4 linked regions of the Saccharomyces cerevisiae S288C genome follow. The gene in region 3 interacts genetically with the main gene of each other region. Each region holds a gene or a part of one and is shown on either strand. Other genes may lie near its edges.

Region 1 (3,338 bases), on a different chromosome or scaffold from region 3:
TCACGTCTTCCTCCTTTTTCATGCATTACTACTCACGCATCCTATCACATAATCAATCCTTGCGCTTCAATTTCATTAGATTGAAGAAAATATGAATATAAATTTATTAATCTCCTACTTTATATCGTCTTTCAACGCGGTATTTTTTTAATAATTTCTAGTAAAGTGGTTATTGTCACTAGAAGATAATTAGCTATTAGTTTCATAACAATTTGTTATTTTGAAAATGTATAGTTTTATTAGGTGGTATTCATTTCAAAGAATTAACATGTTTAATGTTTGTTAAATCTATGTAACTAAGTTAAGGTTGGTATTCAAATATATCATAAAAAAATTAATGAGTAGAAAAAAAAATAACTAATCTAATTTTGTTGTTCCTATTTAATGTTCCTCGTTACTTCCAGCTCTCCAGCTCTCAAATTCGAAATGTATGAATTTTTAGAGGATCATCATAATGTGAAAATGGAGATGATTTGGCAAAATGAAATCGGAAAAAGAAAAAATTAATGGGAAGGAACAAGACTTGCTTGGCAATAGTTTAAGAATATAATAATTTTTTTTGGGTTTCTTCAATCAGCTTCGTCTGGATTGACCACTGTTAAAACGTTGTTTTTCCCTCCTGGTCCGCCATTTATGAATGTTCCGTTACTTATTCTCCTTGAGTCGTCGAAAGGGTTAATATCAGTTTGCCCTTTGGTGTGCTCCTCCTCGAAGCTACCTGAAGAGGGCCCGTGATTAGATGAAAATGAAGAGGCGTATAGTTTATCAGGGTACTCAACTGGTTTTATCGCCTCTTGGTATTCCTTTTCCATCCTGTCTTGTTCCCGCTTCATATTAATGTGTCTGACAATCAACAAGATACAAAGAGCAATGGCTACGGCTCCCACTACACCACCTACAACGCCGCCTACAATTGCCCCTACATTGGCTTTCTTTTTATGAGTTTTACTTCCACTCGTAGAGTCAGATCCAGCTGTACCTGTGGCCGATCCTGAATTCTGTGCACTTGCCGTGATGGTGTTCGTGACAAAAATTGTGGAACCGCCCTCAGTGTGAAAAGTAGTGGAATAGATTATCGAAGTGGCGTCCTGTGATTGAGAGCTAGTACTGCTCGTTGCCAAAGTATCCGAAGTTAGCGAGCTTTCTGACGTTACAGTGCTCGAACTCTGTGACGTTGAAATAGAGGCAGCTGCTTGAGTTGACTCGGGGGAATTCTGTACTGTAGAGGAAGACGCCATTGATGATGTAGTTGATGATGTAGTCGATGATGTAGTTGATGTTGTGGAGGACGTTGTTGAAGAAGTTGTGGAAGACGACGCAGAAGTAGACTCCGTACTTGAATCTGAGCTGCTTATGCTATTGCTATTTGTGTCAGAGTCAAGTTGGTACACAGAATAGGCATCTTCACCACCACACATCTCACTGCTGTAACCAAAGCAATACGTATTACATGAAGAGGAAGTAGATTCCGAACCAGATGGATTAGTATCACCACAATAACATTCTGAATGATTATAAAGGGCAAAGTAGCTTGCACCTTTTGCGCTACACTCACTGTTACAGTGTGAACTCGACTGCCAGTTATATGAATCGGCCTTTGAAAAGTCAGAGGGTAGTGAGCTAAAACAATTCACGTATTCATAGGCGTTCGCTTGCGATAAAATGGATAATAACGCCAGAAGCAGACTTGTTTTGTTCGGTCTCATTATTTAAATAGAATTTTTTATCCTGAGTACTAAATCAGCCAACGTACTATCCTGAATAAATGTGATGCAGATTCCTTTTTCTCCTCTTGGTTATCTCTCTTTTTCTCTCTCCTTATTAAAAAATTTACGGACAACGAGGAGCTTCTTTCTTGTTTACCTTGATTACCCTTTAAGCAATAACAATATCAATACGAGATTTTCTGTAATGTTAGTGCCTGGTCGAGTTTACTGTATCGTCCAAGAAAACTACACTGCGTTAAATTCTTCCAAATGAGGCTATGATACGCCAAACACTTTTATTTTTCCCCTCCGTTTCTCTCGCTTTCGCTTCGAAAATTACATTATTTTCTTCCCCATGCAGCGTTATTTCCATCTTCAGAGAGGAAAGGCGGAGAAAATTTTTCTTGAGGAAGGAATTCTACGAAAGTAGTCAACTATATTACTAATCGTTTGACATAGAATGCCAAAGTTGCAGCTTTTCCACTAACGTCAAATTTGCGTAACAAGCGCTGCTGTGTAAACTGTCTTGCTTTTTAATAGGACTGACAAAAATTATAAGCGGAGAGATAATATTTAATACTGCCATTGACCTTAGTACCGGTACAGGACAATATGTTTGTATCCTTGGTGTCATAAAGAAGAGAAAAACAAGATAAGATCTCCACATTATTTTGCAGAAGGCGACTTTGGGGGCCGATGATATCTGCTTCCAGAAGTATGTAAAAAAATTACACACCATTAAGTTCTTATGTAAACCGAAGTCTGGAAGAGAGGTGGTGGAATTTCCAGTCTGCTACTAGGCAAAAAACTTGAAACACTTTCATATATGATGTTGTTTTGCCGAGCTATTACAAGACGATTTATCATAAACTACTTGCTTGAGCAGGAACGATTTCACAATCTGTTTAGCAGGTTGTTATGAAGTAGACACGATAAAGTTCTTGAAGAAAGATTGTGGATGGGTTTGCTGAAGCTTAGAACTAAGAAAAGAAACAAGCACGCGCAAGAAAACCGCTACGGCTAACTTCTAAGGTGAGGATATTGTGATTGTTTATGCCTCATATTTTGCGTTTTTATATGTTCTTCCTTCATACGGCGTGCAAATTATCCGCCGGCGAACAGGGTGCTATTCTAAAAGGAACTTTGAAACTGTAAACGCGGTGTACTGAAGGGGTCATCTGAACGAACAATATTTTATGCTTTTGTTAGCCAAACGGTACTGATAAGGGACTGTGAAAAAAAAAAGACAATGTATGGGGTTCACGGTTTCCCAGATTCGTGTGTGTGTAATAATTCGTTTACGGCGCACGACAGACACTTCAGGAAATTTAAAGATCAGAATAGGCATACACTCCGCGCAAGGAAAACAAAAGTTGCTACCGTAACCGGCTCGTACGGGGAAAGCAAGGTCATCTAGTGCTCACTTACGAACTGGCATAATCGAGTTGTGACTTCCAAACTTAACCGTACTCTCACAGCTGATGTGATCCGAAGAAAACCCTGAAGATACAACAATGGCAACCAAAGGCAACTTAAAAAGGCAAACGAAGTACTTTTCAACAATAGCTTACACTGAAACTCGCGGAGAGGCGACGCTGCGCGCGAATTATCAGTAAAAATCTCGTAACAACC
Region 2 (3,406 bases), on a different chromosome or scaffold from region 3:
ACAAAAGAGAAAAAAAAAACTATACATAAAATTTTTTACATATGAATTGCTTAGAGTAAAATAGGCATTTTTCATATCTTCTTCCCAATTATTAAATTAGCAAAAAATTGAATAAAAAAAGCAGGTGGTTTAAGAATTGCGCAGGGAGAAGAAAGAATATCATATCTCATGATGGTAGCCACTTAGACAGAGAGAAAACGAAGTGAGAAGAGGCTAGTATTTTTATATCTTAAAAAAAAAAAAAAACAAAAAAAAAAAAACATAAATATTTGTATCTTATTGCTTATGATGATAATGTACAATGAATTCAAAACATGAAAATTGTTCAAAGTTTTTATTTTTATTTTCTCTTTCGTATTAAACTGATGGAACAAATGAAAAAAATGGATAAAAAAACAAAAAAAAAAAAAAAAACAAAAAAAAAACAGCTTTGCTGGAGGATGATTAACTTTTAATTTTTTTAATTATTAGGTTTTTCAATTTTTTATGGTTTTTTGTGTAAAATGCAATGAACGAATCCATTTTTTATTTTGCAAGTGTGAGAGGCCTTTATAAGGAAGACTCGGATTCACCGGCAGCAACCGGCGCAGAGTCTTCTTTGGTTTCTTGTTCTTGAGAAGCGAGTTCAGTGGATGATTCCTCTTCTTGTTGAGGAACAGGTGGTAGGGATATCATGAATTGGTCCAATGCATCGCCGACCAGTTCTTTTTCAATATTAATTTCAGTTTCAAAAGTTTCTGGTAACCAGTTTGACCAGCTCTTGGAACGAACGAAGTACTTATCCAATGGAGATGGTTCTTTGGCTTCACCGGTAACGTTATCACCTTCCTTGGCGGCCAAAGTACCTTCTGCAACATTGACGGTAGCGGCTTCGTTAGCGACAATTTCTCTCAATGCGGCTAAAATCAGGTTAGTGTCACCTCCGAAGGACATGTTAACAACTCTGTAAAACTTAGAGATTAAAGACAATGGAGCAAAACCATCCTTGGAGAGTTTGGACCTTAAGTAATTGTCGACGGTCAAGTTTTCTTCGCTGAAATAGTATTCAATTTGTCTAGCAATGTTGTTGATGGCCATTAACACTGGTTGGACTGGATAAAACTGTTGCTGTAATTTGACCATAGGTTGTTGAGGATGTTGTTGGTTGTGATGGAAGTGGTTGTGGTATTTAGAGCGGTTGTTGTTGTTATTACGAGCGTTGCGTCCTTGGTAAGGTTTAAACTGTGGTGGGAAGCCTTGGTTCTGAGGCATACCGGCGTTATTACTGTTGTGGAACTTTCTCCTTTGAGGACCATTGCTGTTATGGTGATGACTGTGGTGATGATTACGGTGGTGAGGTGGTTGTTGCTGTTGTGTAGATTGACCATTTTCTTGAGAGGTAGCGTCTTTTGAATCTTCCTCACCTACTGCCGATTCAAAGCCATCTTTCTTCATTTGTTGTTGCTTCTTAGCATTATGTTGGTGATGCTTCTTTTTCCTGTTAGCATTACTCGACGATGTCGACGATGCTGCAGTTTTGTTGTTTTTGCTCTTGTTGCTGTTGCCATTACTTGCACCATTCTTGGAACCGGATCTTTTGGTGCCAGAGACGGTAATGGAGGCCTTGATGGGAACCCACTTGGTAGCAGTCGATGATTTCGGAGTGGGTGTTCTGTTCTTCTTCTTTCTTGTGGCATCCAAGTCTTCTATTGAGATAGTAGAAACAGGGATCTCAGTAGGAGCAAGTTTCCATGGGGAAGATGTGGGCAATGGTGCCGGCGTCAAGTTGACTTGCTTGCTCTTGGAGCTCTCTTGTTCTTGCACTTCTGGGACTGGGGCAGTAGCAGTGTTTGCGGCGGCGGTTTCAGCAGACATCGTGGGCAGAGAAGTGAAAAGAAGATGAAACACGTTAGCAGGTCCAGAGTAATCCTGATGTTCTATTACCGATCTAGGATCCCAAAAGATCTTCATAAAACCGAAAAAGATGTTAAGAAATGTTTACACTTGTACTTTTCTTTCTTTGTTCTTGACCTACCAGAAGTGAAAAAAATTTTTCATTGCGTGGGTACATCCGTGCACCATTTCTGAAAAATTTGCGATGAGCATCCCTCAAAATCCGTATTATCCGCTAGTGTTTTGAGGTTCAACAAGACAACATATAAGAAGGGAAGAAGGAAAGGAGGCAATGAGAACTTGGGTCTTGCTCGAGAGTCCAGATCCACATGCAGGTTCAAAAAATGGTGAGAGATAACAGTAATAACGGTAGCGATAAAAGCGTCCATTGGGAGAGGAGGAATAATAACGGCGCAGGCCCCCGTTATCGTTCCAGAAGCGGTAATACCGGTGCTTTGGCAACAAAACTAAGTAATGGGACGCTCTCTGTCAGAGGATTAGTGAAGGACCGAACAGGAAGCGGCAAGATCGCGGGCTGTGTGGAGGCGTTTCTGGATGCCAGGACCCAATTGAATACGCCCTGGGACCGTGCTAAGTGCAATTGGCTGGACCAGATAGATTACTATGTACAGTTGAGAAAGACCGCGTTTTCTAAGGAATTGGACCAACTAAGGAAGCCCATGATCGATGCATATGTGGCGGAGATGAGGCAGAAGTTTGATGCCTCCTATGGACAATCCAGGGCGCAATTGGAAGCCAAACTGGCGCAGGTGGACAGTGAATGGCATATGGTACATGGTGATGTGCATGCAAAACTGGAAAAACTCGTGGAAGAACGCCGGTTTTTGAAAAGATTAAGCGACACGATCGTACCACCCAGGTCCAAAAGATCACAGCGGCTGTCTCCATTGACCAAAGAGGACCGAGCCAACTGTATCTGTCCGCAGCCCAAAGGAATGAGCGACACCGCTTGGTTCGAAGCCATTCAGAAGAAAATGTTAGGAATGAATGGTACCATCAAGCTCCTAGAGACAGAACAGAAACTACTGGCTGACGAGAAAAACAGCGTGAGGAAGACGTTCTGGCCCATGGTGGAAGCACATTCACGCTCGAATGAATTTGCTTATCTGGAGAAATGCATCAGGCTGATGGCCTCTCAGAGAGCAATATGCTTTTGTCTTGATATAGAGGCTTTCGAAACAAACCAGAACGTAATCACCGAAATTGGGATTTCAATTTATGACCCCAGGGAAAATATGGTGCCGTCAATGGTTCCAATTACAAAGAATTACCACCTAATTATCGAGGAGTCCCTGGAACTTAGAAACCAAAAATGGGTCTGTGACTACAAGGATTGCTACTTATTGGGAGAAAGCTATGTTTTGAGCTTGAAAGAGTGCGTGCATTTCATTCAATCACTAATAAACTATTACTTGGTCCCGGTGACCGAAGAAGACAAGACATGGTCAAGGGCATTTGTTGGTCATCACGTGAGCGGGGATCTTAAGTGGCTGGAGACTATTGGTGTCAAATT
Region 3 (2,801 bases):
TCCGAATCCAACAGAAATTCACTTTTCATTTCACCAACAGGTGATATCTTATACAAAACAAGGCTATCTAAACTTTACCAAGAAAGCCCTAGATTATTACAGAAACCTGTGATTATGACAAGTGATAATGTATCTACAAATTCTCTGGTGTCTACAATCTCTTCATCATCCGCATCGTCGCTCGATAACGGTAATGAAAAGGAGGTGGGTGAAGACATAAGGAAACCCGCAAAAATTGCATCTTCACCAAGTCGAAAGCTGCTTAATTCACCAGAAAGTGATGGTAGCGTAAATCGTAACCATAGTAAGGGTAATTTGTTGGTCGTACAGTCCAAAAGAAAACCTACACCTTCGACTTATCTCGAGCACATGCTGGAGGGGAAAGAACAGGATGAGTAAAAACTTTTATGATATTTTGCAATATTTTTTTTAAGCAGTGGTAGTAATTACATAAAAAATATAAAATAGTAGGAGTATTATTAACTTCTATAACTTATTATATTATTTGTTTAGTCTCTCTTTTTGGGTTCTATTCTTTTGTGTGTGCGTCCGTGTCTTATTATATTACATAATGGTACAGCTGGATCCACTGTCACTTTTCACTTCGGTTGCTACTGGGCCCGCGGTTAAAGCAACTCTTGCGGCTTCTGTGAAAGCTTCGTTGACACCTTTATTCAGCTTAGCGCTACATTCCAAATAACGTAGCGCACCGATCTTTTTAGCCATAGCTAGACCTTCTTCATAACTTATCAGGTTTTTGCCGTTTGAGGTGCTATTTATGTTATTTCCGTTGTCGTTAGAAACGCTGTTATCCTGTTGGATATTGTTCGGTGTGATTGCGTTAGATTCATTTTCATTGTTTCTTAAGTCACACTTTAGTGCAACTAAGACTAACTTGACGCCTTCACAATGATCAGTGATTTCACCCACCCATTTATTTTGGACATTTTCTAAAGAATCGCGTGAATCAATACTGAAACATAACATTATACATTGCGTATCTGAATAAGACAAGGATCGTAACCTGTCAAATTCCTCTTGGCCCGCAGTATCCCACAACGATAGCGTGATATGTTTACTGTCAACGAAAATATCATGGATATAGTTTTCAAAAACAGTAGGCTCATAAACTTCGGGAAAATAACCTCTGGTGAAAACATTCAGCAACGAAGTTTTACCACAGGCACCGTCGCCCAAAATAACGATCTTTCTTTCGATCGGTTTATTTGACGTTGAAGCTGACCCACATAGAAATGACATGTTTGTTTCCCTTTACCTTGTGCTACTATGGATTTTAATGAAAAACTTGTTGTTATAAAGTAAAAAATGCTGACCAGAGCTAGAGATGAGAACGATAAAAAAACGAAAATCAATGGTTGCCTATTTTCCAGTAAATTCAAAATAATACATGTTTTTTCTTTCTTTTTCTTTTCTTTTTACTGTTTACCAATTTTCAGGAATGTTAAGAAAGATAAAAGAAATATACAAGATGCCATTAACGGGTAATGGCACCAGTATATCTATGACGGGTAATCCTGTTAGTGGATGTCAAAAAACGTTCTTGGGGTTTCCCGGACGCCTTACACTATTTTGTAAAAAAGCTCATCCACACCCCTCTCCTTGTATTTCTTATCTATAATCTACTATTTCTCGCGTAGGTGCGGTAACGCTGTTCCAAGAAAAAAGTTGGCCGACGACTGGTTCTGGGCCGGGCTCGACCGGAAGTGGTAAGTGGCCTCAATTTGAGTTTCGCTTACTCCTTCCATTCTTACAACACACCCGAAGTTTAATTCACGTGACCAGATAAGGGATTTATTATATGTTTATTGTAAAAAAAATAAGGTAGATAGACATATTACATTTCCTCGTGCTTATCGAAGTATTTTTCTTAGACATCTCGCATGACCACAATGCTGGCTCGAAGGCATTTACTCTTTCCTTGGGGAGATGTGCTTACTGTGATTGATTATGTATTCTTGCGTGCATCTGCAAATCTGCGTTGACTAATTTCGGAGTCTTTTAAACACAGAAGCATTACAGGCCCCTCTCCTCACTTGTGCCCAGTATGCAAGTGTGCTTTCCTGTGAAAACTCCTTCATTTTCTTTTCTTACGCATATGCATAGTCGGATTCCAGCTATTTCCATAGTAAAGAAGAAGAAAAAGTAAATACTTCCTTTTCACATGGGCCGGCCGATGCAGGTCCTCAGGTACTTCGTTTATAAGCTTATATAAGCATGCAAAATTAAACGAGGTGGCTGCTTTAAGAGCGTGCAGAATATAGTCACTTACTACCCTAAGTTAGGACTTTGTCTTAGGAACAAACACATCAAAAATGTGCAGAACAACAAGCCCGCGGGGGTTTTTGCGGTTGACTACTCCTGCTTCATGTCTTTTCTCCCCTGCCATTTGTGCTTCTGGATTTGCTTGAAGGTAACCTTAAAGGATCTGCGCATCTTTCTCTTACGAAAACAAGTATAAGATTTTGCCTGGGCAAACTTAAATTACGGAAAAAGGAGTCGTCGAGAATGTTGCCCTTCCACATTTGGATTAGCTGATAAACGTAAATTGGGGGGGGGGGGGGTCGGTTAAATTTTGTCGACGGGAATGGAATTTTCTCTGGTATTTGCCGCAGCTTGCAGATAGTAGAGCCGATCTTGTGAGGTTAACACCGCATATGGCATTCTGTTGCAAAGTTAAAATGCGTCACCCACCCTAGCGCCTAGGGTCGAGTACTGTTTTAAACTTTTTCAAGACCGGGCGTACCATTGTGCTTGTTCCTTACTTCGTTATTTTCTTGCAT
Region 4 (5,315 bases), on a different chromosome or scaffold from region 3:
GTTATGACCGACCTCTTTGGTCTTACTCTCATTTTTTCTCGTTTCGGTTCACGTCTTTATATTAGTGCTTCAGTACCTGATGCAAGAAATTCAAACGGAGAGGAAGCAGTCTAGTGAAGAAAAAGCGTAGATATACTACTATGCAATTTTGAAAAATAATACGTTGCTTTGTTCATCGAAGCAAACGAACGAGGTGCTTTGGAATGTAGATCTTAGAGTGGAAAAAAGTAAAACAAAAAAAAAAAAAATTGAAATATATTTTCCATTTTCGCGAATGCGATTTCGACAAATTAGAGACCTCTTAGAAGGGTCCTAAAATTTTAATAGCCTTGAAACAGAAGTCACTAAACAGATTAACGGCATCTTTTGTTTAGCTTTCTTGTAAATTATATATGGTTACAAACCCCAATCCCTAACCTCACGCAAGTAAAACTATATAGAATAACATTTAAAGGATCATCGGCATCCTTTCATTTTCAAATAACTCCATTCTTTTTTGCCCATGAGAACAATAGCTTAATGAGTTTATGCATCAAATTTGAGGCGCATCTTTTTCAATAGCTTTAAAATTATATTTTGTCGGTTTTATGTTTTGAATTATCCCCGAAGTAATCCTCTTCCGTTGAGAATTTACCCTTTTTCTCTGTTCCACGCATACTACTATTGCGAGCCACTCCAGGCGATAACAATCCGGAAGCTAGTAAGAACGGACTGGAAAATCCATTTGAGCCAATGGTTGTATTGTTAGCAGAGGACAAATTCGGAGTAGATATAGTATTATCCTCGTCGGAAGTTCGTTGGGTTGACGCTGATATTGTGCGATCAGCTTGCCCTTGATTATTGTCATGTTGCTGCTGTTGAAGCTGCTGTTGATCCCATAAAAACTGGTCCTCATCTTCCTCGTTCTCTAGCATTTGCTGTTCCCTTAGCTTGGTCTCTTCTCTCGCTTCTGCTAACATCTCTTGCGCTTTGCTCAAGGAAACCGTAGGTGTTGTATAGGAACTGATAATTGGCACTGATGTGTCGATATCAATGGTGGTTTTAATTAGTGCAGCCATCCAACCTCTCATCTCTTCTTTATTATCTACTGCAAAATAGTGCGTGCGAGGTTGTGTAAATGTCAAACCTTTCTTTGATCCTGGTTGCGGAGGTAATAGTTTGAAACAATACCGTCCTTTACCTGTACTGGCTGCATATAATGAAACTAGTTTATCATCTTCCTTAGCAGGCACAACGCGATGAGCAGTAATGTCGATAAGACCTCTTTCTCTCGTGTCCGTAGTGGAGCTGAAGTATGACAATCTAGTACCATGCAATGTGAAAAATCTCGTCTTCCAAGTACTCATGGCACCGCTGCCTTTCTTGCTCATCCAACCAGAAAAGTCAGCATCCTTCATTGCCTCTTTAACACTAATACTCCTTAAACCTTCTATAAATGCAGAAGTTTGCTTTTTCTTGGCTACAGGTCTAGCGGTCATTTGACGCAAGCTTTTGCCCTTGAGCGTTTCACCTTTAATAGCCTCACTCGCAGACCTCTTATTTTTATCATCTTTCACAGTTTCGGTAAAGATTTCAGCTTCCTTTGCGCTAACTGATCTTCTTTTAGATCTACTCTTTTTGGAAGACTTTTTATCAACTATCGGTGAGCTGTTTTTTTCTGACGGCATTGAGGTTATGGGATTCTCTTCAGGACTTGAAGAGCGAGCAGCATTATCAGTAAATTGTTGCCTAAAGGGACTTAGCATGAAGGAACTTTTTTTGAATGAACTAGTTCGCGATGCACTGCTGCTTCTCTTTAAAGACGAGTTCCTCCTGGAATCGCTTTTTGATTTAGAAGATAATGAAGACGAGTGTCTCGTTGGTTTTTTCTTCCCCTCCTTCTCATGTGCCAATTTGTCATTACTTATGGATGCAATGGTAGATCCATCAGCGTATATACTGGACGTGGGTCTTTCGAATGTGTTCATTGTTTCTTGAAACTGCTCTTCCTCATGGCTGGAACAAGAGGATTTTCTATCCGAAGAAGATTCAGGAGCGTATCCATAATAAGGGACAGAATTCCTCTTCGAAGACGATGTTAGCTTGCCTTCACTATCTTCATTTCTAACAGAATTACGGGTGGGGGATGGAATAGGTGACAACGCCTTCCCACCGCCTTGGTTGTTCTTTGGGAGTGCGGAACGGGAATTGAAATTAGAATCTGATGAAGAATATTGATCGATATAAGAAGTTCTTTTAGGCCCTGAGAAAGATAAAGTAGGTGATTGCCATGAATAAAGTTGAGCAGGAGAAGGTGACGTCCTTGTGTTATTCAATAGGGGCGATTTTGGAGGTTGTGCTGGACTAGGGTAAGATGGGGGTTTGGGGGCTCTCCTCGGAGAAACAAACAAATTTTCATTACCTGCCATTTCCTCTACCACCTGAGGAATTTGAACATCTGGAGCTATATTAGCATTAGCCTCTTGTGAATCAAAAACTAAAGATTTAGGCCGGTGCTTGGAAGCTGAGGAGTTCCTAGTATTTCTGGGAGTGGGGATAAAATTCTGTTGTGACGGAAGGTCCTCTAACGACTGTGAAGTCTTTCTAACATGGCCTCTGTAGGAAGCTCTCTGGTCAACGTTTGCGGGAGGCATCAATTGGTTATAAATGTTAGCGTTATTGGTCTTACTAGCTCTATTCAGGGAGCGGCCATTAGTTCTAATAGCCTCTTTGATTTTTTCTATTTCTTTGAAAATCTCAAATCTTGTCCCAAAAGAATTTATGTCCAACTCTTTTAAATGAACAAGCTCTAATTCTAACAAAATTTTACCCGATATTTTGTGCTTCTGGAATCTAGAGGCAGATTGGACATCGTATCCTTCCATAATAAAATAAGCTGTTATTTCTTCGGGTGACCAAAACTCTGCTTCTACAGGGTTCAATTTAGTAGTATCAATTCCATTAATTAAAGTAGCTTGATTTTCCAAATCTCCGTTCAGGAACCCAGTAGAACTACTCGTTGTTGGCTTACTGTTAGATTCGACTACATCCAGTCCATCAGTGGCTGATAGAATTGTTTCATGCGTAATGCTATGTTCCTCGTCTCTGCCCGAATTGATGAAACGATCTGGTGGACCTATAGAGTCGTCTTTAAACTCCAGTAGTGCATTGTCTATGTCACTCATTGTATTCTTTAAAGACAAGTTTCTTTCGATCTTTCCATTGGCAGTTCTCGAAATAGAGGCGGCGGTTTCAATTGGTTGCGGGGTTGGCAGTTCACTGTTTGAATCGTTTTCACTGATAAAAGTGCTGGAAAGAAGAGGATCTTCATTGGTTAATGGACTATATATCCTTTTGGTAGACTTGGCTCTCATCAATGTCGGAGCCTTCTCCACTGTTATCTTTTGAGTAAAGACCACCGGATATAAACCTTCCTCATTGGTTCTCAGATTTCGACCAAAATACCAGCCATCCTTGTATTCTTCGTCATCAGTTATTACTTTGATCTTGTCACCGGGCTTCATATCTAGTTCATCTTCCATTCGCTTAAAATACTCATTAATGGCAATATACATTGGGAAATTGCCACCGTCACGCCCGGTTGCACTTCCTTTGCTGTCAAAATCCGGTGACAAAGTGTCCGATACGTCTTTATCTCTGCTGACAGTTGTGTTGAGCTGCGAGAGTGTGGGTACTTCCCTGTCATTACTCATCTTTATATGTTCAAATTTTTTGCGGAGAAGTTGGTATGATTCAATAAATATGTGGCTAAAAATGAAAAGTTAAAACTGAAAAAGCAGTTACAGTCTTTTTGACCACTCTAAAAAAAAGTGTAAGCAGAAGGGAATTACGCAAATAGTGTTAAAAGCAACTTTAATATCTGTTGTCTTTAAAAACTGCTAAGTTTTATCGTGGGGCTAACTATCGCTTAAAAGGAAAGAGTAAATATGGCTAGTCTAACACTAAATATTAAAACCAGCTTTTTTCAACGCTTCTAAATAGGGAGACCTTACTTTCTTGACGAATTTGTCCTCATCAATCTGAGCATTTTGAATAGCGGCTGTGATAAGTTTTGTTTTTTTTTAAAAAAAAAAAAGAAGGTCTCCTTCTTCGTTCATACCGCATCGATCTAGAACGATGGGAAAAAAAGGCACCACGTGACTAGAGAATCACCTTTTTAGCGAAATATTTGTTTACTACCCTATGCATCTTGCGATGAGAAGCTACATGGAAAAGGGACCTATAATTTAGTTATCTTACAAAGTTTATTTATGGAATTGTTTCTCCTGTGTTTAAAAATATAGGGATGAAAACTCATCGGCTATACTGTCATAGACCCGTGTGGAGGAGGCAGCGCAACCAAGTACAGCAGACTGGTCACAACTAAACCGAGCTAGTGGACTTGGAAAGAGGGTAGCTTGCTGACATGCACACCTCTCCCCGGGTTTTGGATGGACACCATGTTTTATGCCGTGGAGCGGGCACCTGGTACCTCTCAAATCTCTGATTCCTGCAAAATTTCCGAAACGTAGAGTCACGGGTCCTGACAAGCAACCATGCTCCAGAGTGATTGGTTTCCTTGATTTTTTTTGCTTTTTCAAAAATTTCTTAACGTGGGTTTTCTTCTTCCTACTTGGACTCATCCCCTGAAGGTAATTCTGCTGCTTATTTGGGTCACACGCGCCCTGTAGCAACAATTCAATCATCCTGTCATTAAGTATATCTTGAATATCATTACATCTTCTTTTCAATAATATTTCTGCTGTAAATGATGACTTTACATTTTGTGAACAGTTATTGGTATACAGAGGATAAATCCAATGTAAATTGGAGGAAGAGTACGATTGCCATATATTAGAAACAGCCATATACAAGTTTGAACAAAATACAACTCAAAGTAAAATGGTAGCTGCACGACAAAAAGTAATTCCTTGAATTTTATTTATGTTGTACCTGGTAACCTTAATTTTTTTTTTTCTTTTCTTTGTAATACCTTAGCTCTGGTTATATGCTTGGTCCCCTTAATTGTTTATGTACCCACTACACATTAATATTGAGGGGAGGATTAAATACATACTCTGCCTTGATTAGTGCCTCTTTTTCTTTTGTCCTTTTTCCTTCATTTATAGCCATTTTTGTGTAGATGGTCCAAATTCCTCGGAGTGCTTTGTTTAATCAGAAAAAGTATCAATGAGCAGGAAGCAAAAAAAAAAAAGGTAAAAATTTACGATTGTGCTGGGGTTAAAGAACTCTCATCTCCTGATGAAAACCCGGCTACTCCATAGAATCTTCTTTTGAGTATGCCTGTAAAACGTACTTTAATAAAGAGAACACTC

Evidence for each region.
Region 1: of RHO3 (region 3) and SLG1, a mutation in one rescues a mutant of the other (synthetic rescue), as found in Saccharomyces cerevisiae (2 studies listed by BioGRID, with this or other methods).
Region 2: of RHO3 (region 3) and SRO9, extra expression of one rescues a mutant of the other (dosage rescue), as found in Saccharomyces cerevisiae (one study listed by BioGRID).
Region 4: of RHO3 (region 3) and BOI2, extra expression of one rescues a mutant of the other (dosage rescue), as found in Saccharomyces cerevisiae (3 studies listed by BioGRID, with this or other methods).

Annotation. Positions count from the first base shown.
Region 1 is NC_001147.6:340,709-344,046, forward strand, and holds SLG1 (Slg1p), read right to left. Parts: upstream 1,707-3,338; coding exon 570-1,706; downstream 1-569. Other genes in the region: YOR008C-A (uncharacterized protein), read right to left, coding at 2,149-2,373. UniProt on the Saccharomyces cerevisiae protein: Plays a role during G1 to regulate entering or exiting the cell cycle. Involved in stress responses. Has a role in cell wall integrity signaling. Activates ROM1 or ROM2 catalyzed guanine nucleotide exchange toward RHO1.
Region 2 is NC_001135.5:56,825-60,230, forward strand, and holds SRO9 (Sro9p), read right to left. Parts: upstream 1,855-3,406; coding exon 550-1,854; downstream 1-549. Other genes in the region: GFD2 (Gfd2p), read left to right, coding at 2,202-3,406. UniProt on the Saccharomyces cerevisiae protein: May overlap in function with tropomyosin and may be involved in organization of actin filaments. Acts as a multicopy suppressor of RHO3 mutation. RNA-binding protein which may modulate mRNA translation.
Region 3 is NC_001141.2:138,211-141,011, reverse strand, and holds RHO3 (Rho family GTPase RHO3), read right to left. Parts: upstream 1,261-2,801; coding exon 565-1,260; downstream 1-564. Other genes in the region: pheromone-regulated protein PRM5, read left to right, coding at 1-399. UniProt on the Saccharomyces cerevisiae protein: Plays an important role in cell growth. Required to keep the uninucleated state. Modulates morphogenesis during bud growth via directing organization of the actin cytoskeleton and the position of the secretory machinery for exocytosis.
Region 4 is NC_001137.3:390,021-395,335, forward strand, and holds BOI2 (Boi2p), read right to left. Parts: upstream 3,693-5,315; coding exon 570-3,692; downstream 1-569. Other genes in the region: TMN3 (Tmn3p), read right to left, coding at 1-32; SPR6 (Spr6p), read right to left, coding at 4,272-4,847. UniProt on the Saccharomyces cerevisiae protein: Protein involved in bud formation. Functions redundantly with BOI1 to promote the fusion of secretory vesicles with the plasma membrane at sites of polarized growth. Acts as an abscission inhibitor during cytokinesis in response to chromatin bridges.